3 linked regions of the Drosophila melanogaster genome follow. The protein of the gene in region 1 purifies or fractionates together with the protein of each later gene. This does not show direct contact. Each region holds a gene or a part of one and is shown on either strand. Other genes may lie near its edges.

Region 1 (9,800 bases):
ACAACTCCTAGCAATACCTAGACTAGCCCACAAAAAAAGGAAATCATCAAAGTACAACTTCCACGAAAGACAGAAATAAGTTATGAAAGACAAACCTGAGACATATAAAAAACCATATATAATCATTTTTGATCGTATTTTTCTCACACGTAAGGAACTCCAATATGAATATTTGTGTGTGCATGAATGCCTGTTATATACATAGATATATACAATATATATATATACAACCTACATATACAAGCTATATACAAGAAATCTCTATATATATACAAACCATGAGTGGAGACCCGTTTCTCGCTTCATTTTCAAAGAGAAAATCAAACTATGTTTTGCTGAATTCGAGAAAACAAAAACAAATCAAATCAAACGATATTGGATATGCTATATATGTATACATTGTGCTCTTTGTACTTTTAAGTTAGACTAAATACCAAATTTGCTTTTTAAGGCTTAAGAAAAACATTAGATCGAAGCCTAAATTGTACTCTGTATAAATAAAAATCGCGTATTTTGCTTAATGATTTTCTGTATTTATATATCTGTATGTTGTGCAGCTAAATGATTAGATTTTTAGGAATCTTTGAAAAACGACGAGAGACTTTTTTCAATGTCATGTTGAGCGTTTATTTTTGCAACTTGTCTGCAAAGGTGCACAAAAATAAAATTATTTAATAATGAATATTACCTTGAAAAAGTGATCTTTTAATTGTATCTTTGATTTTCAAAGATCCTGGGGACGTCTTCTTATAAATGTTCAATATTCTAGTGGGGAATGAAAAAAGTGGGCAGTTTAAAAAGATTTTTAAACTTTTCATCAAATTGAGAAGACGTCTAAAAAATGAATGTCTGGCTTTTATTACCGAAAAACAAAATTTGTCCTAAATCTGAAGACTATAAATTCATAATATGTCTTCCTTTTTGCCACGTATTGTATGAAAATGTCTTCAGATCGCCAAACTAACATGAAGTACATTTAATTCATATTTTAAGACCTATGTGACAATTATACATGTATTAACTATGTTTCGGACCATCAAACCAAATTAACAAAAATAAAATTAATTTTTTTCAAACCTTTTCTTTGGGGAAGCGCGCTGGGAATAATTTTTTAAGAAAAAACACGTTGCACGTCGCATAAGAGTTAAATGTGCTTATTGCTTTTTATCAATTTGTTATTGTTTTTATTTCGAAATTTATTAAAATACACATGTATAAATAGTTCGGCTTTAAACCTAAGCCCAATTGTTGTGGCTGTGGTTAGTTAACTGGCATTTTTACTGGCTTGCCAAAACAACTACCTATCCGCTACTTTTATATTTATGTATGTATCTATAAAGTGGCCATTGTGGGGGGTTCTGTTTTTATAACAAATCTAGAGCTTAAAAACTAGTTGGTATTAAAATTTAACGATTATAGGGACAACAGCTGCCAGTAGAAATATAAAATTGCTGAACGGAGTTGTACTGATTTTTTAAAACGAGAACTAAAGGAAATTTGTTCGATATAAACAATTTAAGCTTAAACAAAGAAAAATACTTCTTGCCAAGTTTTCCATATTCTTTAGAACCTCAGATGAGCCTCGTGCGCTTCAAATAGGTAATAAGCAGATTGTATATGAACTTGTATTGCGCCAGGGATGGTATAATGCTATCCCGTTGATGCCTTAGCTGCCCGATAACTCGAGGTATATCCAGGTCCTGCGATCGTAAGAAAATAATGCTTATGGAAATGGAATAATAAATTCCCTTTCTCCACTCACCTCATTGTGGTCCAACGTGTACAGTAAAAGATCGGCGGTCAGTGTCACTCCCGAACGACCGCCTCCCTCCAGACAGTGAAGAAGAACTGGTGGGTTTGTGTTATGTCCCGGCGGAACTTCTTGCGTAGATGCCAATCGCACGGAATTCAGCTCCTCGAGGAAATCGAGGAAGTGATTCACATCGCGTGGACAATTCTGCTCCGCCCAGTCAGCGTACTGCAAATACCAAACGGATCGGTATCGACGCGATGGTACGTGGTAAAGGCGCAGCTTGATGGTGGTGCATCGATCGGTGGTTTGTGAGAATTCCTGATACACTTGGAACTAGAAAGTAGAACCTTTGAGGAACAGAACTAAAAGCTTATGCGGTTCACTTACCTGTCCAAACTCGAGACGCTGATGACTGTTACGAGGAATATAGCTCATATCCTCGGTTAGCTGGACCACCAAATACACATCCGCCTCCCATACACACTGCCAGAAGATGCGCATGGTAAGCGGTTCTTGTGGCGACTGGGCCACAATATAGAACCGCTGCTTTGTGCCCACAGTGGCCTGAAAAAGATGTTCCAACAATGAAATACACAATTTGCTTTTCATCTTGAGTGTCAACTGAACGTACAGATATGGAGGAAGCATTAACGTAACCATGCCGATTGTCTCGGCATGGAGTCAGTCGCACTCTGTTGTCGTCATAGGGTAAAAAGTTGGGGTCGTGGTTCTTTGGCTCGTTCTCCTCCAGCAGGGCGCATTCGTATAGGGCATGCTCCCGTCGTTTCGGTATGCGTTCGAACTCCATGAATAGCTGCGAGTCACTTAGCTTTTGGTCTAGGATTTGGCACTGGAAGTTGACAAGCGCTTTAATCGAAATGGATTCCAAATCGTAATAACTTTTAACCTACCAGTTTGTCCTTGGAATATCGTCCAGAAATGGGCTGCGGCTTGTTGACGCCTGTGGACCAACGATTTGGCAGGTTGAGATCGTCTTGGGCTAGCTTTAGCTTTGCCGCCAGCTTGGAGTGCTGACCTGCCGTTGTGGCCTTTTCCCTGCCCAGTGTGGCGGATTTCTGTTTGTCGGGTGTTTTGCTGCGTGACAAAAAGTTCCATCGCTTCTTGCGTTTTAAGTCTTTGCTGGCCGCCGATGAGGACGTGGTGTCCAGCGTTGAGTTGAACATGGAGGATGTGGAAGCTGATGTGTTGGCAGAAAGATTCATGGCACTGAACTGCTGTTGCAGCGTGTCTCCGGCCGGCGTGATCATGTCGACCGTCGACGACTTGTTTAGGCTTGCTGTTGAGCGATGTTGTCGTGGCGGAGGTGTGGCTCCCATATCTGGCGCTGCACTGGCGGCTCGATTGGTCCGCTTAGGAGCCTGCGGTTCCAGGAACAGCAGCTCCGTGCTTGCTGCTCGGTCTGCGCCGTACTTCTTTATGTTTCCATCGTCGGGTGGAGAATTGACAGTTACAGTAACTACGTTGTTGGAGCTGGCGTTTCGAGCAGCTGGAACAGGGACAACGCCTGGGGCGGACTGTATGGAGGAAGCTCTTTGACGCATAGCCTCAGTATTTGCGGCACCACTGCTGCCACCAGAGGCTCTCTGTGGCAGGGGTACATTCTCGTAGATGGGCTCGATGGAACCGTTCACCAAGCTCCTCTGTAGTGGCGCCGGTGTCGCCGATTTATGGGACGAAGCAACCACCGGCGGTGGAAGCGGGCTGCTCGCTGGCGGGGGCACAGAACTACGATATCCACTCGGCGGCAGGGTAGGTGAACTGCAAGATCGTAGCGAAAAGTATTGTTATATTGTTTATTTTACGACTTCATTACACTTACCTCTGCGTTACCACAGATCCGGCAGCTGCAGCTGCTGCCTGACTCATCGCTGACTGTCGCAGCTGGGACATTATAGACGGCTGCTCCTCGATCATGTTGAGGTTCTCGAAGGTGCCGTGCGGGGGCAGATAGGGCTGCGAGTGCCCCATGTGGCTCACGTACTGGTACTGGTGCAACATGGTGGCTCCGGAAGATGTTGGAATATTTCCGGCATGTCCGCCTGCGGGCAGAGCAACGTACTGACCGCCATTGAAGAGCGTGCGGTTAGAGACTAGATCCGGCGAGGAGCCGCTTACGTAGTTGCGGAAACCCTGAAGGGGACGGGGAGTGGCCACGGCCAGATCGGGCGTGGAGGAGGAACTCAGCCGATTGACATACGGCGGTGGGGCCTTGTGACGCATCATATGCATGCGCTGCGAGAGCTCTAGGTATGCCTGGGCGGGGCTCATGGGCTGTGGATGTGACTGCGGTTGATGCTGTGCCTGGTACAGGTTGATGTGGTGGTGTAGGGCAGCCGCCGGCTGGGCCACGTCCGGATAACGATGCGCAGTCATATGACCATACAGTAAGTTCTCGTTGTGCATGCCTGGATTGTGTACATCAGGCTGGGAGCCCGCATAGTAGGCATTTCCGGGCGCGGCCATTGCCAGTGCCACATTGTGGAATTCCGCCGATGGTGTGCGGTACTTTAGTTGGACCGCCGTCTCATAGTCTGGTGCCGGGCGGTATGTGGGCAGCATGGCTTTGAGGCGCTCCCGCTCATCGTTGTTATTGTTGTTGTTGCTGCCTCCGTGGTGCAACATGCCACTGCTGCTGTGCAGGTTGTTGTTGCTCAAATCCAGGCAGGAGCTGCTTTGTCCCAACATCTGGTTAGCGCTGGTAGCCAGCGAAATGTTGGAGGAAATCATCTGCTGCTGCTGAATCTGTTGCTGCTGCTGCATATGTTGCTGCTGCTGATGATGCTGTTGCAGTTGCTCGGCGGCCGCCGCTTCATTGTAATCGTAGTCGACATAACCAACGCTGTCAACGCCCAACGGACCACTCTCCGCATCCGCACCACTTCCCAGGCTCGAGGGCGTGGCCGTGTCAATATAGCGCTTGAAAAACTTATGCTGGCTAATGGTGAGCTTCCAGAAGTAACGTGCCGTGTCCGCCTCGCTGAATATAAAGCTTCCCACGATGCTGCCGCCACCATCCAGCTTGTTCTGCTCGATCTTAATCGTTCGCTTGTCGATGGTCACCGTGTGGAACTCCTTCCATGGAAAATACTGCCGACCGTTGTCCGCGTTCACCACCATCCCGTTGATGGCCAGGCCCAGCAACAAATCATTGCCGAGCGTGTCCTTGGCGGCGAAACGTTCCTCCCCATACCCCTCCAGCTGCTGGCAGCACTGTATGTACATCTCCTCCGCCTGGCTCTGACTCAGATGTGCAATGCCCGCCTGCTGCTGCAGGACCTCCACGATCAGTCCCTCCAGCATGCTGTCATCGTTGGCCAGGCCTTGCATGTTGCGCGGCAGGACCAGCGACTTCTTCAGATAGTCCTTGCTCTGTTTGTCGCCCTGGTAGCTATCGTACTCCGCCTGGCGGCAGTAGAGCGCCAGCAGTATGGCCGTGCGGATGTCACAGGCGATGCGGCCCTCGTAGATGTCGCTCTTCAGCTGCAGAAAGTAGTAAAAGCGCGTGGCTTCGTCGCTCAAGTGGCGCACGCCAGTGGTCACGTAGTGGCGAACGCGCAAGTAGATCTTGGGGCCCGCCGCATACTTCTCCAGCTGCCGACTGAGCGAGCGCTCCAGGTCGATCCATTTGAACTCGTCCTCCTTGTCCTTGCCCTTGACCAGGTAGCGCAGTCCAAAGAACTCCGGCTGCTGGATTAGCAAACGTTGGCAAACGTTGTCCAGGCACTCCTGTCCCTTGCTCTCCGAGCTGATCGTGCAGTCCACTGTGCTGGATGTGTCTGCAATGTAGGTAAGAGTGAAAACGTGCTTCAAACATCGGCCTAAGTCGCTCCAAGCACTCTAAATTCGCCGCACAACAACAATTTGGCCCTGCCCGTCGCACGCGCAAATATGCAAATAAAGTTTATAATCTCTTTCGAGACCTTATACGTTTTATGGACGGAAATTGTGGCGGCGCCGCTCAATTGGCTTCTCTCATCTGTCGTATTTCCTAACTAACGAAACGTAGGCCTAATGTCTAAAACCTTTCTGATGGTTGGAGAAATTTGGGTGGTTTTAATTGAGTCAAGGTCTTCAGTTCGCTTGCCAAATAAGTACATTCGGTTAAGTGTATAAGAACTACAAAACATGCTTTTGTTTAGCCCAAAATCGAGAGTAAATAATATACAAAATGTGAAGTACGCAAAGTTAGGAAGTTCTCATAGGCAGTCTGTTAGTTTTAGAATTAACGGTCGCTGTTATGTGTCCTGTGCGCCTCTGTTAACTCAGCGACTGTTAACTAGAATGCAACAAGTGAAGGCATTTTTGTGGTCTGTGCCTTGGAAGGCGAATTCCAGCTAAACTGGAAGTGGGCGCCGCATGACAATCGTTGTGCACATTCCCAATTAAATAATCCCAATTGCAATGGCAGACGGCAGCTGTTAAGTTGTGGCTTTGTCACCGATTTCTTGTTGTTTCTATTGTCTCGTCTCCACTGTTGCTATTGCTGTTGTTGTTGTTGTCGTTGCTGTCGCTGTTGTTGTTGTGGGGGGCGTAGCGCCTCTAGGAATGTGGGGCTTACTCACCCAGCAGGTGATGCACTGATATAACAAACAAACTCTTGGACGTAACATTGTACTGGCGACACTTTTTCAAGAATTTCAATGGCATTTTTCGACTATTTTGCTCCACCGGGGCTCCGCTGGGCTCACAAAAGTGGCTAAAACGGCAGCACCATCGACACCACAGGTTTTTTTTGGGGGAGTAAATTGCTCAATTGGAATTAGCCGATTTGAATCAGCTGATTAGACACGCAAACCAGAGCACTGCGCGTATTGGTTAAGTAAAGTTAAAGATAGTAATTGGGCAGTTAACGACAATAAATAAAGGAATTCACGAGAAATAAAACGAAGAGACCGAAGTGCTGATATCGATACGCAGGTGCTGACTGAGTATCTCGGTGGCTGGCATCGAATGGATCGATAGGCGGCATTGACTATCGGTATGTCTTTGCGCAGTGGGCTGCAAGAAAATAGGTTTAGTTCTGTTAAAGAAAACAAGTGCAACCAAGAAATATGTAACTGAAACAAAACAGTTTATATTTTAAAATATATAACAATGCAGTCAGCAGTGATTAAATAAAATTCCTAAAGATATTAAAACCACTGATACACACGAATACTTCGTTGTACACAGCAAGAGAATAACGGTTTCTAGCGAACAGTAAAATATCAAACTTAACAGAGCTACTGGACACATAGGTGGCGTGCTGGCATAGCTCTGTTATCCGTTCCAACTCCAGTGCTGGAAAGTGCGCGCAACTGAGAAATCCACACCGCGATTCGACGACGGTCCCTCTGGAATTCAGTAATTTAGTACTGCTGCTGCCGTGGTAGTCGTCACTTCCCCTTTGCACTTGCCGCCCTCCGTCAACGTTTTATCGAATAAAGCGAATTAAAATTAAGATCGTGGCTTCGCCCCGCTGCGTAACTGAATAAAGCGAATTTAAATCAAGGGCTTTGACGTCTGCCAAGCTGCTGAGAGGGGCTGCAACAGGAAGAGCACCAGAGACGGGGCACAAATCCACATCCACATCCACCGATCGTCGTCTATCTACAGAGGATTAGGAGCAGCGCAGTCGGAGATCGCGATCGGTGAGTTTCGAGGAGCCGAATCACAAGGCCACGCACTGTCGAAATCCAAAAAGCAAAACCCGATTACCAAAATCGAAATCCAGTCCATAATTAATTTGCTGCTTAGATATTTCGAGCGCTGCATTGGCGGTCAAGGTTGCAGCGACGAGGACAGATGATGGAGCAACCGTATCGCTCACTCGCTCGCTCACACACACACACACACACAGAAGAGCCCTGCGAGCGAGTTTAAAGTTCAGTACCTGTTGCTGCGCTCGCCCAGTCTCCCTCTCCCTCTCGCTCTCGCACAGCCTCGCCGCCGCCCGTGCGATAGTGCGCTCTCGCTCACTCCGTCCGCGCTGCGTGTAATTTAATTTAATTCACTTCTGTTATTAATTTGCGCTATTTGCACGCTGTATCGCCGCCTTTCACGTCTCAAACCGAGTCGTAGGCCGAATTGCATAACCAAAAACGCGACTCGGGTCGCCAATCGGCCATCAAGTTACTTTTCTGCTCGTGGCTCTCCGCTGAGAACAGCTGTCGACTGTCTGCTTCCCGTACAGTAAGCACTCGATATGAGCGACGAAGCTATGTTCTTAATTTCCGTTAACCTGCCTTTCCTTATTCAAAAAATCAACATTTGAAAATCCTAAGTACACCAACTTTACACATTTTCCAATTGGAGTTGGCGTTGCATTTAGTTTCCAATTTATTAAAAACAATTTGTGAAAAAAGCCAACCGATATATTGTTTTATGCTAATTAAACACACACACATTAATGACGATGTAAACAAAATCCTAGTATCAAAATTTACTACAACGAAATTGAAAGTGGCTTAGTTCGAAAAGCCGAAGTGTGTATACTCTTGCTGCCTTGTATAACTGAACTCTGTAAAATCGTTCCATTTTGAAAGAACTAAGAACTTAGTAGGAGATACTGCAAGTCTAGGTATGTACGTACATACATATTTACATATATATAAATCAGTTAAAATATAAAAATTGTACATTGTTGTACACTTCCTAAGAACTTTTATGGATAAAAATTAGTTCTCTGAAATTCAAGTTCAAAGACAAACTAAATAAATATATTATATTATATGTTATGACACCCCATTATAGGGTTACCTACCTATTAAAGCTAGACTATTAGTTCTTCCAATTAAAGAACCATTAAAAGGGCAGGTTCCGTAATGGGATTACATTTAATGGACTTCGGTTAAAGTGAGCGCGGAGTTACATTTCATCCTTTCCAGACAGCCAAACTAGGTTTATGATAACGAAAGCCACTTGGGCGCGAAATAAATATGCATAGTCATGCTTACTTTATAATTCTCCGTCGATTCGGACGAGTAATTCGAGAGTGTCATCGTGTTTAGGGAATTTTAAAATCACATATGCCAAGCGAGATTCTAAGCGTTATCACGCACATTACAAGTGTGTAGGGTGATACTAGATGGGCGTTTGTTGTGACTAGATCGTAAACTTTGTTTGAATAGATGGCTAAGCAGAAATAACCAAGATCATTCATCTCATTCATTTAGATTAACTACTTAGTCGTAAACTAGAAAAAGAAGCACTCAAATAAAGAGTGTTTTTGGAGGAAACATATACACATTTGAACGAGTTAGGATCTATTGTTTCGTAAAAAAAACTAAAGAAACCGAATTTATGTTAACATTTTTGGAACATTTGTTGGTTTTCGTGATATATATGTGTGCTTCCTAACACAATTTAATCATTGCGCTGTCGTCATTCCGTCAATCGAACAGCACACATGGGTGACCTATAAAAAGACGCCAATTTTATGTTCACCTCCACTTGTTGTCAGTGTTGGTTGTTATCGGGAGCGTCGAACACATACCTTCCTCGAAATCGGACGAGAATGACGATACTGGCGTCGATTTGCATATGCCTCGCATGTGTTTAATATTTATTTTCTGCCTTTTGCTGACCACAGCAACAAGAACTATTACGCGACTCTATACAAAGTTCACGCACGTAGCGGCGCATTAGCAACATTAAAGCATTAAGTCAAACCCGAATTCAAGGTGAAAATTCAGTAGAGCTCCTTAAGCCCCCACAAAACAAAAGATAACACCTGGGATCAGCTCAAACTTCCAACTGCTTAAGTTGAGAGTTCTAGTAAAAATGCTTTCGGCACTAGTTAAAACTCAAAGCAGTCGGGGCGAATTTCATTGAACTCCAAGTGTGCATTTCAAAACCCAAACTCTAGCTTAAGTAAACCCTCTCAATTTGCATTTCCTATGCTTTTTTTTATAAATTCGGGTAAAGAAACGTATACAAACCGTATATGTACATTAAAATCTTTAAGTACTTCATAAACTGAATCCTAATGAAAGGGAATGTATTTTGTTTGGGATGATTTTAATCCGATTTCACATTGACAAGTACC
Region 2 (9,505 bases), on another chromosome or scaffold:
TGCTGAAACTTGCTAGACAAGTCAATGTAGGTGCGCTTAAAGTCGCCTGTGGGTTCCCGAACAAAGATTAACTTGATATAGTAGTACATCAGCTGTAGAGCATAGCACAGGTTTGATTCCTGGCGAAATAGTTCCTTGCTCATGCGCAGCAGCTGCAATGACATCTGTTGATTGGACTGTGGACTGAACATGTCGATTTGTACGAGAGCCAACGTGAGACTCAGGCACTCAGGGAATAAGTTGGCCAGGTTCGAACTGGTGCTGCTGGCCAGGAGCATAAGCAGCGCGTTGAACATTTTGGCAAGACTCTCCGACGGCAGGAAGCTTAGGGACTTGAAGAATGATCTACTTCTTTTGCCAAATAAACTCTCGTTTAGTTGAACTAGAAGCGTTGCGCATAGACTTATTTGCCTTTGCGTCATGGCTGCGAATAGATCTCCCAATGATTCCAAAGCATAACACAATTGACTTGTAGCTTCCAAGGGGAGTTTTTGCTTCTGCAGCAGCACATGGAAACCATTGAAGTGGGTCAAATGTATGTCCAGATATATTTTGTAGTCTGATTCTTCTTGCAGACGGCAGGGTTGTTGTCGGATGAGGTTGTACAGCTTCTGACAGGCTTCAATGGATCGCTGTGAACGGGAGAATTGGTTAGAAAGATTCGAAGATTCTTATAGCGACTCCTACCTGATGAAACAAGCCATGATGTATGTACCGCAGGCTGGACAAGTGCGCTTCCCATAAGCTTGGCTTCTCCTCGCAGGGAACTACGCGTGGCAGCATTATGCCCATGATGTCGCAGTAAAGATCCGAGTTCTGGTGCAGATTATCCTTTAAGGCGAGGCAAATATGGCGCAATACATTCACTTCGTATCTCAGAGGTAGTCCATCGCCAGACAACTCCCGGAATTTGGCTTCCACCGTTTTGCGGACTTTTTCCACATCGGAGCGGCTGCCCTTCAGCTGGGTGGCTATATCAGTAGACATTTTTTCAAAGGGAATTGGCACATTTAACTAGTTTAACTGCGACGCTTCCTTTTTTGTTGCTTTGCGCCAGATTTTGAGATCCAGTGTGACCGTCCATGCTAAAGCTGGAAATCCTTTAACGATAACATCGATATCTCTAGTTTTCATATCAGAACACAAATACTACAAATTCTTGTGGAAAATACTAAACTTCCATGCTCATTTCCGATAACGATACAATTTGTTGCTTTATTGATATCGAGATTTAAATAAAAAAAAATACGCTCATATGCGTAAGCTCTTCTCTTTAATAGAAATCATTTTCCCATTTTCCCCCGTAAAAGACAATTTTAAAATGATGTAGTTTATGTATTTCAGTTTCAATGGGCTGGTAAAGACACATCTCATCTCGTTAAATTAACGCGGGGCCTGCTTTAATAATAATCGGTTAATTACTTGTGTATTAAATGAAAAGTCTTGTCTAAAATTGTTTTGTGTATAAGATTTACTCGCCACATTTAATGAAAACACTACTGCCAATGAATAAGTGGAAACATTTCGGTATGTGGTAAAAGTACACTTAAAAGTATATAAAGGTAAACAATTCGGGTTGCTCAAAAGTGAGTGCTCTACGTTTACAGAATGACGCGGAGATAAAGTTTGTGTATCTGGGAGGTGGGTGATGGGTAACAATGTAAGTGTGTTTAAATCGCCTTGAGCAGAAAGTGGGCGAAGTAGGATGCTTAACTTATGCGTATTTAAAGAAGGAATGACTTAAGAGTTAGTTAAAAGTTCTTAGCAGTAAATTGTGTGATCGTTTTCACGCGAAACGTTGACAAATCCGCAGTTGTTCAAATAACGCCGGAAAGCTATTGTTTGATTTTCGTGACTGATTGAAATTTGAAAACAAGATGCTGCTGGATGGCTAAAAATTGTACACGTTGTAATTGTGTAATCTTTAACATAGTGATTTGGATTTCATGTTGCGAATCCTGAAGATGGCGAAGGTGTTTAAAATGAAACTGGAACTTGGGCTCGGATGAGGCTATACTAATGCGACTTGCTTAATTGGTTGTTTGCTTGGTTTCCTTTGCATTCCTCCTCGATTTTTCTCGCTTAAACATGTATTTTTTTCTTGTTTAGCTTTGTTTGATTATTACGTTCATTATGCTCCTCTTTGTTTGGGTTGTTTGTTGTTTTTTCTTTTTGTCGATTTCTTCTTTCATTAGCTTACATTTTAGAGAAACAAATTGTGGGTTTCCTAAAGGATTTATCATCTTTTTCTATCAAAATATGATGTGTGTGTGTGTTTTTGTTTTGTGTGTGGGTGTATATTTAAATTTATAACGTACAAAGACGCTATACCGACAGATCAGGGTTTTAACCATCATGCTTTCTCTTCTTGCCTCTGACTTGCGACTCGTCTGGAAAGAAAAAAAGGAAAATATATGGCATTAAGAACTAATGCTGTCTGGGATATAAATAATTGAACTTACCTGCTTCCTTTTCGCCATCCTTGTCCTTGGCATTCACTGATGCAGCCGATTCGTTTGCATCACCATCGGCATCATCAATATCGGAATCCTCTTCCTCGTCCTCCTCGCCAGCCTCGTCTTCGCCTTCCCAATCAGAGTTATCCTCTTCCAAATCGTCATTGTACACCTCCGACAGGGACACTTCACCATTCGCCTCTTCGTCGCTATCATCGCTGTCGTCATCTTCGTCGGAAACTGAAAAATCAAAGGTAAATTTGATTAAACCAACTTGCTTGTTTGTACATCTCGAACTTCCCTAAATCGATTTTTTAATGTGTTCAACGGAATTGAGATCAACAAACCTACGAACTACTATAACGCTTCTTGTGGGTAAGAGAATCTTTACTTTTTCTGCAGCATTTTCGAGTTAGAGAAGTTCGACTAATACTGAAGAAAAGTTCAGAAACGTTATGCTTACAATATGTAGCACTGCCCAAATTTAAAATGGCAAGGAACCAATACAGCAGGATTACAAAACTTAAGTTAGAATTGCTAGGAGGCTGCGGTGTGGCATTTATCACAGATTGTTCATCGGTTGAAGCATCAGTAGATTCCCTTAGCTGCAACTCTTTCAAGTATTCATCTAATTCGTCTACTTCTTTGTCCTCCGATTGGGGAGGTGGTTTGTCCTGCAAACTTTTTTTCGCCTTAACCCGCTTCTCGAAAGCCTCGAGCTCGTCTAAATCGATCTCTAAACCATTTAAACAGAATGCATTGCACTTATCTGAAAGGCGACAAAAGCCACGGTTGAGTATATGATATTATTGTTAATACGAAGAAAGCGCGATTCACAATAAGCGATTAAGTTAAACAGACGGACAATGGAATTTTAATGGTGGTTACATGGAAATCTTTTATAAAAAAAAAACTCCTGAATTCTGCGATTTAATCTTTGGTCTCTATAAATACGTCGAATACACACCTCCCACTTCGTCGGAATCGTTGCCGTTGACCTCATCATCATCATCGCCATCAGATTGCACCTCCTCGTCGTTGCAATCAAATCTGGAAGTGGTCAAGAAGTTACTTTTATTGTTCTACAATAGAAAGAAGTTACTCAAACTCACCCATCTAGGAAATTTAACGATGGCAACATCTTGAAGATCTTCTCGCGGTAATTATCCACTTGAGTAGCGTCGTTATTAAACAAATCCAGAACAACCAGATTTTTAAACTCCTCCAGGGGCTTCAGGGTTTCCAGATCCTTTATCTTGTTGCCAGACAAGTTGAGATATTGCAGTTTGGGGCTAGTGGTCAGATAGTTGAGGCCACTCGAAATCCGATTGTCGGACAGTTCGAGCTTCTTTAAATTGGGCAGCTTGGGGAAACCTTTCAGTGTGGTGAGACCCACGTTGATCAAGCTAAGCGATTCCAAGGCTGTGTATTCATCTGTAAGGCCAACGATGCTTGTACTACGGCAGTTGTCCAGATTCAGCTCTGTGATCTAGGTTATAATAGGGTTGAGAGTAAATACATAAATTAGAAGTAGTTCATTTTATTTATATGAAACGAGTTTTGAATAATTTTTAAACCAATTATTACTTATCGATATTAGTTATTGAAGACAAGAACAAACGATACCGATTATTTTGGTATATTTGATGTATTCATTGTGGAATATTCAAGCCTCGCAGTCTGGTCACATTTGTAACATTTTTTGACGCAAAGCGAACAGAAAAAAAAAATGGAGAACAATACATACGCAAAAATCGATCAAACGCTGAGAAATTTTTTTTTGTTGAAATGCAAAACGAAATTACATGCAAAATAACCAATTTGGCGTTAATGCAAATGACTTGGTAAACATTGCTGCTGCTCCATCGCCAAATTGCATATTTTTGTAATGCAGGCGACGAGGAAAAAGTGCCAACTCGCGTTTATGTAACCCCAATATATGTGTGTGTGCCACAAGCGTGTGTATGTGTGCGTGTGCTTCGACACAAAGCAGAATGCGCAAAGAGAAGAATGACGAGCAAAACGGAATTATCAAGAAGTGGAAGGGAGATGGCAGGGGAACAACAAGACTAGCCGGCACTCGCAGCAACAAAACAACAACAACATGGTTGACCGTGACGTAGTTTAGTTGTTGCGCCTGTCTGCGAATAGTGGGTGGGGGTGAGAGTGGGTGGTGTTTTGTGGTCTGATAATCTACAAATGAATAAATGTACACAACGTACGCCTTTTGGAGGCTGTGCAAGTTCACTTCAGATTACCCAATTATCAATATGTCACGACGCCACAACAAAACCAACAACAAAGAAACAAAATGGGTGCCTTCAGAGTCCGTCTGTCCGTCTCTGTCTAGCCGAGAAACAGTTATGTGCTTACAGCGGACACTTTCTAACCTGAATTATGGTTCAAATTTATTTTATTTCTAAGTGGCAAGAATCTTGGTATATCCTAAAAGAAAATTAACTGTAGCTCAACACAATTTTTAATAATTATCAACAAAATTGAATATGAAAATATAAAATTGTAAATAAAAACTGACTGCAAAACCTAATCTGTATTCGGTTTGATATACTTTGTAATATAAATAACTTATTGTTTGATGAACTTCAAAATCATGTTTTTGGTAATGGAATCAATTTAACTATGTTAAGAATCTTTTTATGGATATGGTGTAGTTTAAACAAAAAATTTAACTCTTGGAAAGGAAACAAAGTGGCACTTCCCCAAAGGTATAATTTATAAAAATTGGAAATGAAAAAAATGTTCGTATGAAATTCACGGCTAAGAATTCGGTTGTGCTCGATCTATTGATCGATCTAGTAAGCACCAAAGTGGGGAATGCAAATGATCTAAAATATAGCTAACAGTAGAGAGTGTCTACTGTATTTGAGCAAATGAGTGGAAATGAATGCACACAGCGTTTGGCTTTGACTTAGGCGCGAATGAGTGTGTATACGTTGCTATTTTTTGTCTTCTGCTGACTTCGCTGTTGTGGGGTGCATTTTGGGCGGGCAGTGGGTGGCTGGGCGGTTGGGTGACCGCTGATTGAGATTGAGTAGGCTGGCCGGCCAGCCAGAGCGCATGTTTATTAATCAGCGGCTTTGTCTTTTCGCCTGCATTTCTTTGCCACTTCGAGTGGGCGGGAGCGGGATGGCTAGAGGCGATGGCGTGCAGGTAAACACGTTAGAAGAAGAAAAGAAGAAGGGGAGCATAAAAGTATTATGACTGCGCAGTCAATATATGTATGTACATATGTATGGATGGATGTACTGATATGTATGCTATGTGTCGATTATTTTGTGCATAAGTCGTCTTACGTATGCATGTGTATCTTTTGTGCGTGGTACGCGTGTGTTTGTGCGGATGATGCGCGCGCTATAATATTGTTATAGATACAATTTGGTATCAAATAACCTGAAATTACAACATGCAGTCAAACACACGTACACACAAACACATGTTGCCCGTGTTTGTCACAATTGAAGGCCGGCAATAACCACAACAACAACTACGACGAGAACAGCAGCAGCAAGAACAACAAGCGAGGAGCATTGCCAGCTGTGGAGATAATACAATTCCAAGTGCTCTAGCTCGTCTGGCCCGAAAAGATCGCTTTCCATCAGCCATGCAGTAAAATCACTCAGGGACTTGCAATTAAATACGTAATAGCTTGTAAACGAATTCAAAACCTGCATTCTAAAGGAGCAAACAGCAGGCAAGGCGCAAAAATGCGCGCACATGGCAACACTGGCGTCACATGCATACAAACACGCACGCACACAGAGGCATGTGTGTAGAATTTGCTTATGGCGATCAATTTCTTTTCTTTTTTTCGTTTTTCTTGTTGATGCCGCTTTGCTGCTTCTTCCGTAGCACTTTTTGTATGTCGTCTATGAACAAATTGAAACTAGATTTACATGATAATGCACACACACACGAAAGCGTCACTTAATTTGGACCTCAATTTAAGTTTGTGGCGCGTGTTTTTTTTCATCGTTTGTATTTAGCTTACCTGATTTACTTTGCGTGCGCGTCTTTCCAGTTCTATTCTCTTCTCCATTGCAGCGGCACTTGTTTGTTTTGGATGTTCTTTTTGGTTACGCTTTTTTCCTTAGCGGATTCCTTGTATTTTTGTGTGTTTTTCTTCCTTTGGGCTCCACACGAGAAACAGCGCACGCACTGAAGGCAAAAGACTCGCACTCGCCAACACACACACGCACACAGAGCAACACACGCGCGCTCGCACACGCTCACTAACACAGACGCAGCCTTGCAAATTTTTCTTTTTGTGCTTCTTTCGGTATTTTCGATGCCGCCACCGTTTGGTTTTCGCAGATTTTTATGGCTAAAAAGGGAGATGGGTGGAGAGTGGGTGGGGGAGGTAGAAAATTAATTAGTTACTGGTAATTATTGAAACACAAAAAATAAAGTGCACAACTGCAACTGCTGCATTGTAACGCATTTTCTTCGATTCCAGCACATGACGCGCCTTTTTAAACCGACTTTTGGACATCAATTCGATGGTTGAATGGACTGTGAATCCTTTTTCCGGCCGAAAAATATGCCAATGCTGGCAACACGCACTCACCTGGCGATGCAGAATATTTAAATACTTCAGAATCAATTTTTAATTGTATTTTCAACCAAAGCAAAACGCTAGAGCTGGCACTTCAGTTGATGATTGTTCGATACCTCCTATACTATCCCCTGCATATATCGATTGATTTTGTCTAGTAGTGATGGCAATTTGGGTTGAGAGAGCGAACTAGCTTGGAAGGTAGTGGGTACCTGCTACGATAGGTGCATGTATTCGCTAAAGTGCGACCGTTAGATGCTGTAATTTTGTACCAGTCTGCTTTTTGAGCGCCAAATTCAAATGTATTTAATTTAAGAACTTCCTTCTGCACTAAAACCAAAATAGTATACCACTATTTAATTTGTAATAAGCACACGTTAAAGCGCTTATCACGGACGGGAGCGTTAATCACATTTCAAAATACCTATTAAGACTAAATGACGCCGTTAGCAATAATGCGGCATAATCAGAAGCGCGTGCATCCGTCGGTAATGCGATGCTGCAAGACAGGGTCGCTGAATCGAGGATATATAGGATTACCGTTTCGAAGGACGAACGCCTTAATTAGCCCTGCGAAAAGCGCGAAAAATAACAGAACAAAGCAGCATAAGCTTGCTTATTTTACGCTGCGAAGTCAACGAACGCCTTTCGAGGAAGTAAAGCGTTAACCGTCTGTTGACATGGCCCCTTAGCTTTTCCCAACAAGCAACCATGTGTATGTATGGGTACACAGGATTGAACAAAATGGCCGCAAGGACGCAAAGTTGCCGTCGTGTCCGTGAACTTGGCGTAGCTTTAAATGATGTAAACGATTCAATTTGATTTCCTCGCCTCGTTTACCTGCCGCTCTTTATTCCTGATAATTTTAATGTGAGCTTAATGCGGCCGCGCAGCATACGAAAACATTCAGGTATTCAGGTAATTGTTTTTGCAGTATCAAAGAAGAAAAATTACTTCAGCCGCACACAGTGGGAAAAATATTATCTGTTTCGAACATTGAGGGAATATTCTATTGCAAATGAATTCTTTAGTAGTTTATCGCACTTGTATGTAATTACAATTATAACATAATGCTGTGTAAACTGCGTTTTTTTTTTGTTATTTTCCTACGTGCCAGCTTGGGCTTGCGTATCAATTAGTCGTCCTTCTGGCTGGGCAAATTTGCCAAACGTGTGTCCTCGCTCCACTTGGGGATACTAATAACAAGGTGGGAACGGGTTGCGGGTGTCGGTCAGGTTGTTAGCATTATCTGCAGATCGGGTGCACAGGTCCTTGAGCGGCATCATCGGTTGCACCATTCGAAGTGCCCCTGAAGAGCCGTCGCTTGGCTCTAATCTATTAAAAGCGCGTTAATTCTGCGAGTGTGCCGTCTATTTGCGGTCTCCAAATAGCAGCAAGTGCCACGATGAGCTTTTCTTTCAGCCACAGAATTTGTGTACTTGTGTGCCATTGGTAACTGTTGCTTTGGTAAACATCAGCTTTAATGGCTTTGTGCTGGGTTCAAATAAACGGAATGGAAAACAAATTTCGAGAGATTATGGTTGACTTCGAGGGTGTGGATGGTATCTGTTATTACCACTTTGAACATTACTTTTTTAGCCCCCTTTTTCAACAATATAATGTTGGGCAAAAGGTTAAAGTTATTTTAAACAATTATTTTTGTTTCTTTTTCTAGTGACAAATTTTAGATATAAGTATGTATTCAAATTAAAATTACTTACCACCTTCATTTCCGTGCACTTATTAATGCCATTTTGAATGACTTATTTTAAGGCCCATTAACAGGAACTAACTACTGTTTACTGCCATCTGAATGGGTACTAATTAACTAAGTAAAGCACGGCGATGCCGTCGACGATGGACTCTCTTTTGTGCTCTCTTTCTGGCCAAAAGACACGCACACACATTCGCACATCCAGGAGACCAATCAACAGTTTGCCGTGGTGCGAGGAAAAGCTCTCGGAAAAGCTCGGGAAAAAAGAGATGCTGCGACGTCGACAGAGGCGAAAAGCAGCAGCCACAAGTTGCCTTTTCGACATTTGCAACAGTTGCTGTTGAGTGGCTTCGAAAGTCGGACGTGGCGAAAGGTATAGCGCATACATCCGTAACTGAATCCAGGCGAAACTGTTATCAGTGGATTTGGCCACCTTTCTCCCTGTCTGCGTGCGTGTGTGTGTGTTTGTGTGTATGTGCTAGCGTGCGGCTGGGAAAATTGAGGAAAATTGAAAAGGCTTGTAACGGGAAACTAGTTCAAGTGCAGAAGCGCGAAAGTTGCCAGCAACAATGTTGCAAGTGGAAAAGTGCAAATTCAAATTTCAAACAGCGAAATCCGAAGACATAAATTATAAAAGTAATCAAATTATAAACTCACTCACATATAGTTGATTTAATTTTTGGCACATGTTTACTAAAACGAAATTTTCGTGGTACAACATGTGTTTCTCCCACCGAAGCAAAAAAAAAAAAGTGTTTTGAG
Region 3 (5,918 bases), on another chromosome or scaffold:
CCTTATCTTTTTATTCAGAACGCAAACTGCTAGCTGCCAAACAGCGGGACGAAGTCTGGGAGAGCTAGACCGCGGCCCGGAAGAAGGCCAGGTGCATTTTTCTCACCCTTTTCTCATCTGCAATAAATGCGGCAGCAAACACAACACCATGTGGATCGACAACAAGAAACACCACCATTAACGCCCACAAAAACAATTCTCAATCAAAGCTAACACAGTAAATGAGTAATTCGCATGCTAAGCAATGTACTTTTAATGTTCGCTTTTTGTGAAATTAACACAGACTTTTGCTCAATTTGTTGTAGTTTTTAGAGGATGCAATGCATATTATATCATCTAGGCCGTAAGAGAGAAATATCTATATTTATTGGTCGTAGCAATTAAACGTGCAGAGAGACGCGTGTACGTGTTGTTTTAACTCCAGCCGTAAACCTAATTTTTAAGCGCGAGCAATTTATATATTGATATACAGTTTGTCAAGAAACTGTTTACACACTGTGAAATAAGTTGAATTTTTGACTTTAAAGCTAAAAATAAAGGGTTTTTTGCTTAATTAAACGCAATTTTTTTATAAAATATAATTAAACAATATTTATTTTACTTATAAATCAAAAAACAAATTAAAAATATTAAATATACAAGAAAATAAACAACAAATTCCAAGTTTACACACTTTTGAGACTGTCAAGAAACTCTTTACACAAAACACTAAATCGAAGTTTAATCCTAAATTTTTTAATTATTTTATTAAAATTTTAAAAGTTTTGGTATGTAGTATGTTCCCCATTGGCTTTAGCTACAAGTTGAAGCCTTTTTTTCATGGATTGGACAAGTTTTTGCAGGTCATATTCAAACGGGATCTTTTCACACTCTTCGACTATTACAGTCATAAGCTGTTGTTGTGTTTTAGGTCCCTTTTTGCCACCTTCTTCTTTAAGTAGGTCCACAAATTTTCAATGGGGTTCAGATCAGGACTCTGAGGGGGCGTATCGATCACTTTACCACAGTTATTAAGGCGCCAGGTGCGTACATTGCACTCTTTATGTTTCTGATCATGTCCTGGTAAAACTTAAGATTTGGCTTGTTGTTGCTAACTAGACCGAATTTTTCTGCACTGGCCTTCAAATTTGTTTTTTAACATTTCTAGATATTGCACGGCAGTTATTGTGCTCTCAATTAAGGCTAGTTTTCCCACTCCACGGCTGGTGATACAGCCCCAAACCATCAGTGACATTTTTCCAAATTTTATCGTTGGAATGATATTTTGTTTTTCTAGCGCACTCAACGGTTTGCGCCATACTCTGCTTGGCCCGTCGTTATAAAAGAGCATCATTTTTGTTTCGTCACAAAATATGACGTCATCCCAGTACTCTTCCGCATGATCCATCATGCTCACAGCGAATTAATGACGCTTTTCCATATTGGCATCTGATAGCAAAGGGTTTTTCCTTGCAAATCTTGAAGAGTACCTATGGCGTAGGATGACTTGGCGCACAGTTTCGTGTGACACAGTTAGGTGGCATTCTTGCCTGATATCCAGAGCAAGTGATCTGACCGAGATTCGGGGGTTCGCAATCACTATTCGCATAATAAAGCGGTCTACACGCTTTTTAATTTTAATTTTCCGCCCACCACCGCTCTTAGGTTCAAGCCTGCCCTCTTTTTCCGAGCCTTTTAAAACATTGTAGACGGTCTTACGGGATACAGGAAACATTTATACTAATTCTGGAAAAGATTTTCCCAACTGGTGGTTATAGTTTATTAATTGGGTAACTTCAAAAGTTAATCTCTTTCCAGGCATTTTATTAAATTTAATAATTCGCTTTAAGCACGTTTGATCAGCAAAATTTCACAAGCAAAGTCAACAAAATTTCAATAGAAGCGTTGTAAAAAGCAATGCAAAGCCAAAAATAACGGAAAAATCGAGTTCGTTCTAAGAAAAAGAACAAAACAAAGTAGGAAAACAAAATGTGTAAAGAGTTTCTTGACAGTCTCAAAAGTGTGTAAACTTGGAATTTGTTGTTTATTTTCTTGTATATTTAATATTTTTAATTTGTTTTTTGATTTATAAGTAAAATAAATATTGTTTAATTATATTTTATAAAAAAATTGCGTTTAATTAAGCAAAAAACCCTTTATTTTTAGCTTTAAAGTCAAAAATTCAACTTATTTCACAGTGTGTAAACAGTTTCTTGACAAACTGTATATATTTTAATAAAGTTTATAGCGTAAGTAAAAGTTAACTGAGAAAGTGTTTTTTACTTAAAAAAAATTGGATAGATCATAGCATGGCCATACATCGCTTTTGATTCGCCAATGCAGCACAGATATTTTTTCTAAAATAATATTCTTTCAAAATTGCAGTTACGCGTTAATATGAAATGAAAATTCAAATATTTCATAATGAAATTTATGTTGGCAATGCTGAACTATGCATTGGTGTCGGAACGACAGTATGGTATTTTTGCGTATTACGGTCACACCAATGCCGGCAGAACAATTTGTTATTAAAACAAAAAGAGTTAATTATAGCGCTTAAAAGGTAACAGCTGTGCGTTTGCATTGTTGCTTAATGCAAGCAAGTTAACTACCCTGCAACTAAAAATAAATATTCAAATCGGAGCTAGGCAATCGCATTGGCATTGGAATTTTAGTAGTTTTGTAAACTATATTTGTTTAAATCGGTTACACGCTGACAACTATAAATTATAATAGCAGTGAAGTGAATGAAATTGATAAGCTTATCTTTTCGGAAGCGCAGCAACAATAAGCGCGTTCCACCAAAATCAATTGAAGTTCTGCCCGTTGAAATAGTTACTTTTTTGACTGCGTGGCTACAAGTTGTGGGCGTGTTCGAATTTTGGGTATGTGCGTACAGTAGAGACTGGCTGACACGGACGGAACAAGGATTTAGTACATAGAAGGAGTATCTTTTCTTTGAAGTTTAGTTTTGTTCCTAATTAACATTCAAAATTATATATCTTTACATAATTTACAAAATTAAAGATAGTTGGGCGACCACTGTACACAGATTTATTATAAATATAAAGAGCGGCAATAATTGTAAAGGCCGCGTGTAATAAATAGCGTATAAACCGAATCCAATAGCCATATACGTACGTGGATCTCGTTTCAGCCCAATCATGTCCAAGTACTTATCTGTCCTACTGCTGTCCGCGGCACTCGTTGGAGCTGCCAAGCCGGAAGATAATGAATCGTGCTATTCCTTCGCCGGCGGCTCCGTTTATCCCGACCAGCCGAAGGGCGACCATCAGCTGCAGTACACCAAGGCAGTCAGTGAGTTCCATTGGATGCAAAAAACCAGGGATCACTATTAAGTTGCTGCTACCCTTATTTCCCCAGTTTCCAAGCCAGCTCCGCAGTTCGAGGGCACCGCCGTGGTTAATAAGGAGATTGTGAAGCTATCATTGTCCCAGTATCTAGGGAAATATGTGGTGCTACTCTTCTACCCACTGGACTTGTAAGTTTACATTTACATTTAGTATGATCGCATTTCTCATTGCCATTTTAGCACCTTTGTATGCCCAACGGAGATCATTGCCTTCTCCGACCGCATCGCCGAGTTCAAGAAGATCAAGACCGAGGTGATTGGCGTCAGCGTGGACTCGCACTTCACCCACTTGGCCTGGATAAACACGCCGCGCAAGGAGGGCGGCCTGGGCGACGTGAAGATCCCACTGCTCTCCGATCTAACGCATAAGATCAGCAAGGACTACGGAGTCTACTTGGAGTCCAGCGGTCATGCGCTGCGCGGTCTCTTCATTATCGATCAGACCGGAGTGCTGCGACAGATCACCATGAATGATTTGCCCGTGGGACGCTCTGTGGACGAGACTATTCGTCTGGTTCAGGCCTTCCAGTATACGGACACCCATGGAGAGGTTTGCCCAGCAGGTTGGCGGCCAGGTGCCGATACGGTAGGTTTTTTGAAGCATTGCCTTAGGTAAATTCTTTTTGATACCATTACCTTTACAGATCGTTCCCAATCCTGAGGAGAAGACGAAGTACTTTGCCAAGAACAACTAGGGACAGATAGAGATGCACATTACCTTAGTAGCCTAGCCCAGTTACATTCCTAATGTTCACGACTGAATCACGATGCAAACGAACAATCGCTAGAGTCCTCTGTACAGAAAATCCAAATCCGCAATGCCACCGATTGTGAATATTTCGCATTTGCTTTGTACAAAACATAGTTTGTTTATTTTACAGCATAACTGAGATATAAATAAATTCATGAAGTACATGTGAAGGTGATGAAAATTGCGCGGCGCCACAGGAGCGGTACCAAAAAGGAGGAGATGTTTTCGATCTCAAAATGCCTTGAAAGCTGGCTCACTAGGCCACTCTAATGGGTAACAATTCGATTGCAATTAGTTTCATACAAAAATATATGTAATATGTAATATGTAGTAGGTAAAAGGTAATAGTAAATTAGTTAGGTACGCCATGGTTGCAATTAAGTTATCCTGTGCTCCGACCTATGCGTACAACAAAGCTAGGTCTGTCGAGGTATATAAATCTGGGGAAACGGGACGGGGGCGACGACAATAACTAGGACGTCATAAGGCACTCGTTCTCGTCGGATTCTTCGTGTGTAGTCTGCTTTCTGTTTTCCGTTTTGTGCGTTTGTCAGTAAGTGCTTCATTGTGGTGAGCTTTAAATGCCAAAACCGAGGTTCATAAAATAACGAAGGTGCAACTGCGGTTCAGATCCAAGTTGTGCGGGAGATTCCTTTGCTGCGGAGATTCCGTATCGATCAAAGCGTTGCACTGTTCAGATTCCCGGAAACGTTAATCAAATAAGGGGTTAAAAAGTTCTTAGAGCTATGACCATGCAACACGTCGAACCAAAAAGCAGTCGGCGATTATAATGTTTGGGCGTTTGTTCCTTTAGAATGCGATTCATCATACAGCCTACTGCTCGTAGTAAACCGCGTCCTGGAATTAAGACAAACACAAATCAATGAAGGGAAACGAGTATATAGCACTGGCATATGCTTTATTTCACTCAGTGATATATATGATATACTGATATACTCACAATCAAAAAGAGCGCTGCGAATATGAGCGCCTTCATGCGGACATCCAGATTCAGGGGGAAGGTGACGCTGAAGTAGTCCGCATCGGTGAACAGCTCCCTTCCCAGTCCGGACCATTGTTTGCTGATTTTGCCGATCTCCTCGTTGTTGGCGCTCAATACCTGTGCGCGGTTAAAGGGGCGAGAGATGTTTGCGTTTCGCATTAATCGGTTCGCAGTTCGCGGCATCGCAATTAATTGACTCGCTCTGGACAGTCAGGCATGGCTAACCATGACGTCACTGCCTCGGACTGCAGTCTCTTTGCTTCTGTACGATCACAGCAGCGGTCAGTAAAAGGGCTCATAGATCGGCACAAACACTTGGTGCATTTTAGCCATAAAAAGTATAAATTGATTGATTGATTTTCCTATATCTAGAGGCATCTGTTAAATAACGTATACAATTGAAAATTTAAAACTAGTGTGGGTGCTATTAATTTGAACGCTTCTGTCTGTTCATAATTATTTAGAATATATGTATATAGGCACTTATAAATGTTTAATAATTAAAAAAGCAATTAAGTGGACGCCTGATACTGTTCATTTTGGAATTTTATAAAGCTTCGTCTTTGACTGATGAAGACCATACATATGTACTCCTCCGAAGAATTTAAAGCTAATCCGCTGACCGCTGCTGTGTGTGTATACACTTGTTTGGGCATTGGGAATCGAGATCGAGAGCCAAGAATAACCACTTGTTGGCTGCGTACTGACCTTGAAGTTGGTATCGCTGAAGCACTTGCAGGGACAGACGGGTCCCTCGATCTGCAGGACGGTATCGCCGCATGTGTTCTTGATGTTGAACTTGGGCCGCATGA

The links.
Region 2: the proteins of Pez (region 1) and Mapmodulin purify together in Drosophila melanogaster (affinity purification with mass spectrometry, with the first as the bait; one large-scale study listed by BioGRID). This does not show direct contact.
Region 3: the proteins of Pez (region 1) and Prx4 purify together in Drosophila melanogaster (affinity purification with mass spectrometry, with the first as the bait; one large-scale study listed by BioGRID). This does not show direct contact.

The regions. Positions count from the first base shown.
Region 1 is NT_033779.5:6,331,722-6,341,521, forward strand, and holds Pez (Pez), read right to left. Parts: upstream 6,951-9,800; 5' UTR 6,927-6,950; intron 6,773-6,926; 5' UTR 6,422-6,772; coding exon 6,337-6,421; intron 5,551-6,336; coding exon 3,594-5,550; intron 3,533-3,593; coding exon 2,665-3,532; intron 2,604-2,664; coding exon 2,385-2,603; intron 2,318-2,384; coding exon 2,141-2,317; intron 2,087-2,140; coding exon 1,763-2,086; intron 1,701-1,762; coding exon 1,572-1,700; 3' UTR 1,160-1,571; downstream 1-1,159.
Region 2 is NT_033778.4:17,864,864-17,874,368, forward strand, and holds Mapmodulin (mapmodulin), read right to left. Parts: upstream 7,153-9,505; 5' UTR 7,042-7,152; intron 6,799-7,041; 5' UTR 6,514-6,798; coding exon 6,466-6,513; intron 4,995-6,465; exon of another isoform or gene 4,164-4,994; intron 3,946-4,163; coding exon 3,569-3,945; intron 3,507-3,568; coding exon 3,424-3,506; intron 3,226-3,423; coding exon 2,920-3,225; intron 2,697-2,919; coding exon 2,463-2,696; intron 2,391-2,462; coding exon 2,347-2,390; 3' UTR 1,456-2,346; downstream 1-1,455. Other genes in the region: thr (three rows), read right to left, coding at 1-632, 688-987. UniProt on the Drosophila melanogaster protein: Implicated in a number of cellular processes, including proliferation, differentiation, caspase-dependent and caspase-independent apoptosis, suppression of transformation (tumor suppressor), inhibition of protein phosphatase 2A, regulation of mRNA trafficking and stability, and inhibition of acetyltransferases as part of the INHAT (inhibitor of histone acetyltransferases) complex.
Region 3 is NT_037436.4:3,039,909-3,045,826, forward strand, and holds Prx4 (peroxiredoxin 4), read left to right. Parts: upstream 1-2,450; 5' UTR 2,451-2,542; intron 2,543-2,641; exon of another isoform or gene 2,642-2,864; intron 2,865-3,136; 5' UTR 3,137-3,143; coding exon 3,144-3,297; intron 3,298-3,363; coding exon 3,364-3,481; intron 3,482-3,532; coding exon 3,533-3,938; intron 3,939-3,996; coding exon 3,997-4,047; 3' UTR 4,048-4,266; downstream 4,267-5,918. Other genes in the region: CG2162 (uncharacterized protein), read left to right, coding at 19-68; scramb2 (scramblase 2), read right to left, coding at 4,938-4,961, 5,065-5,223, 5,815-5,918.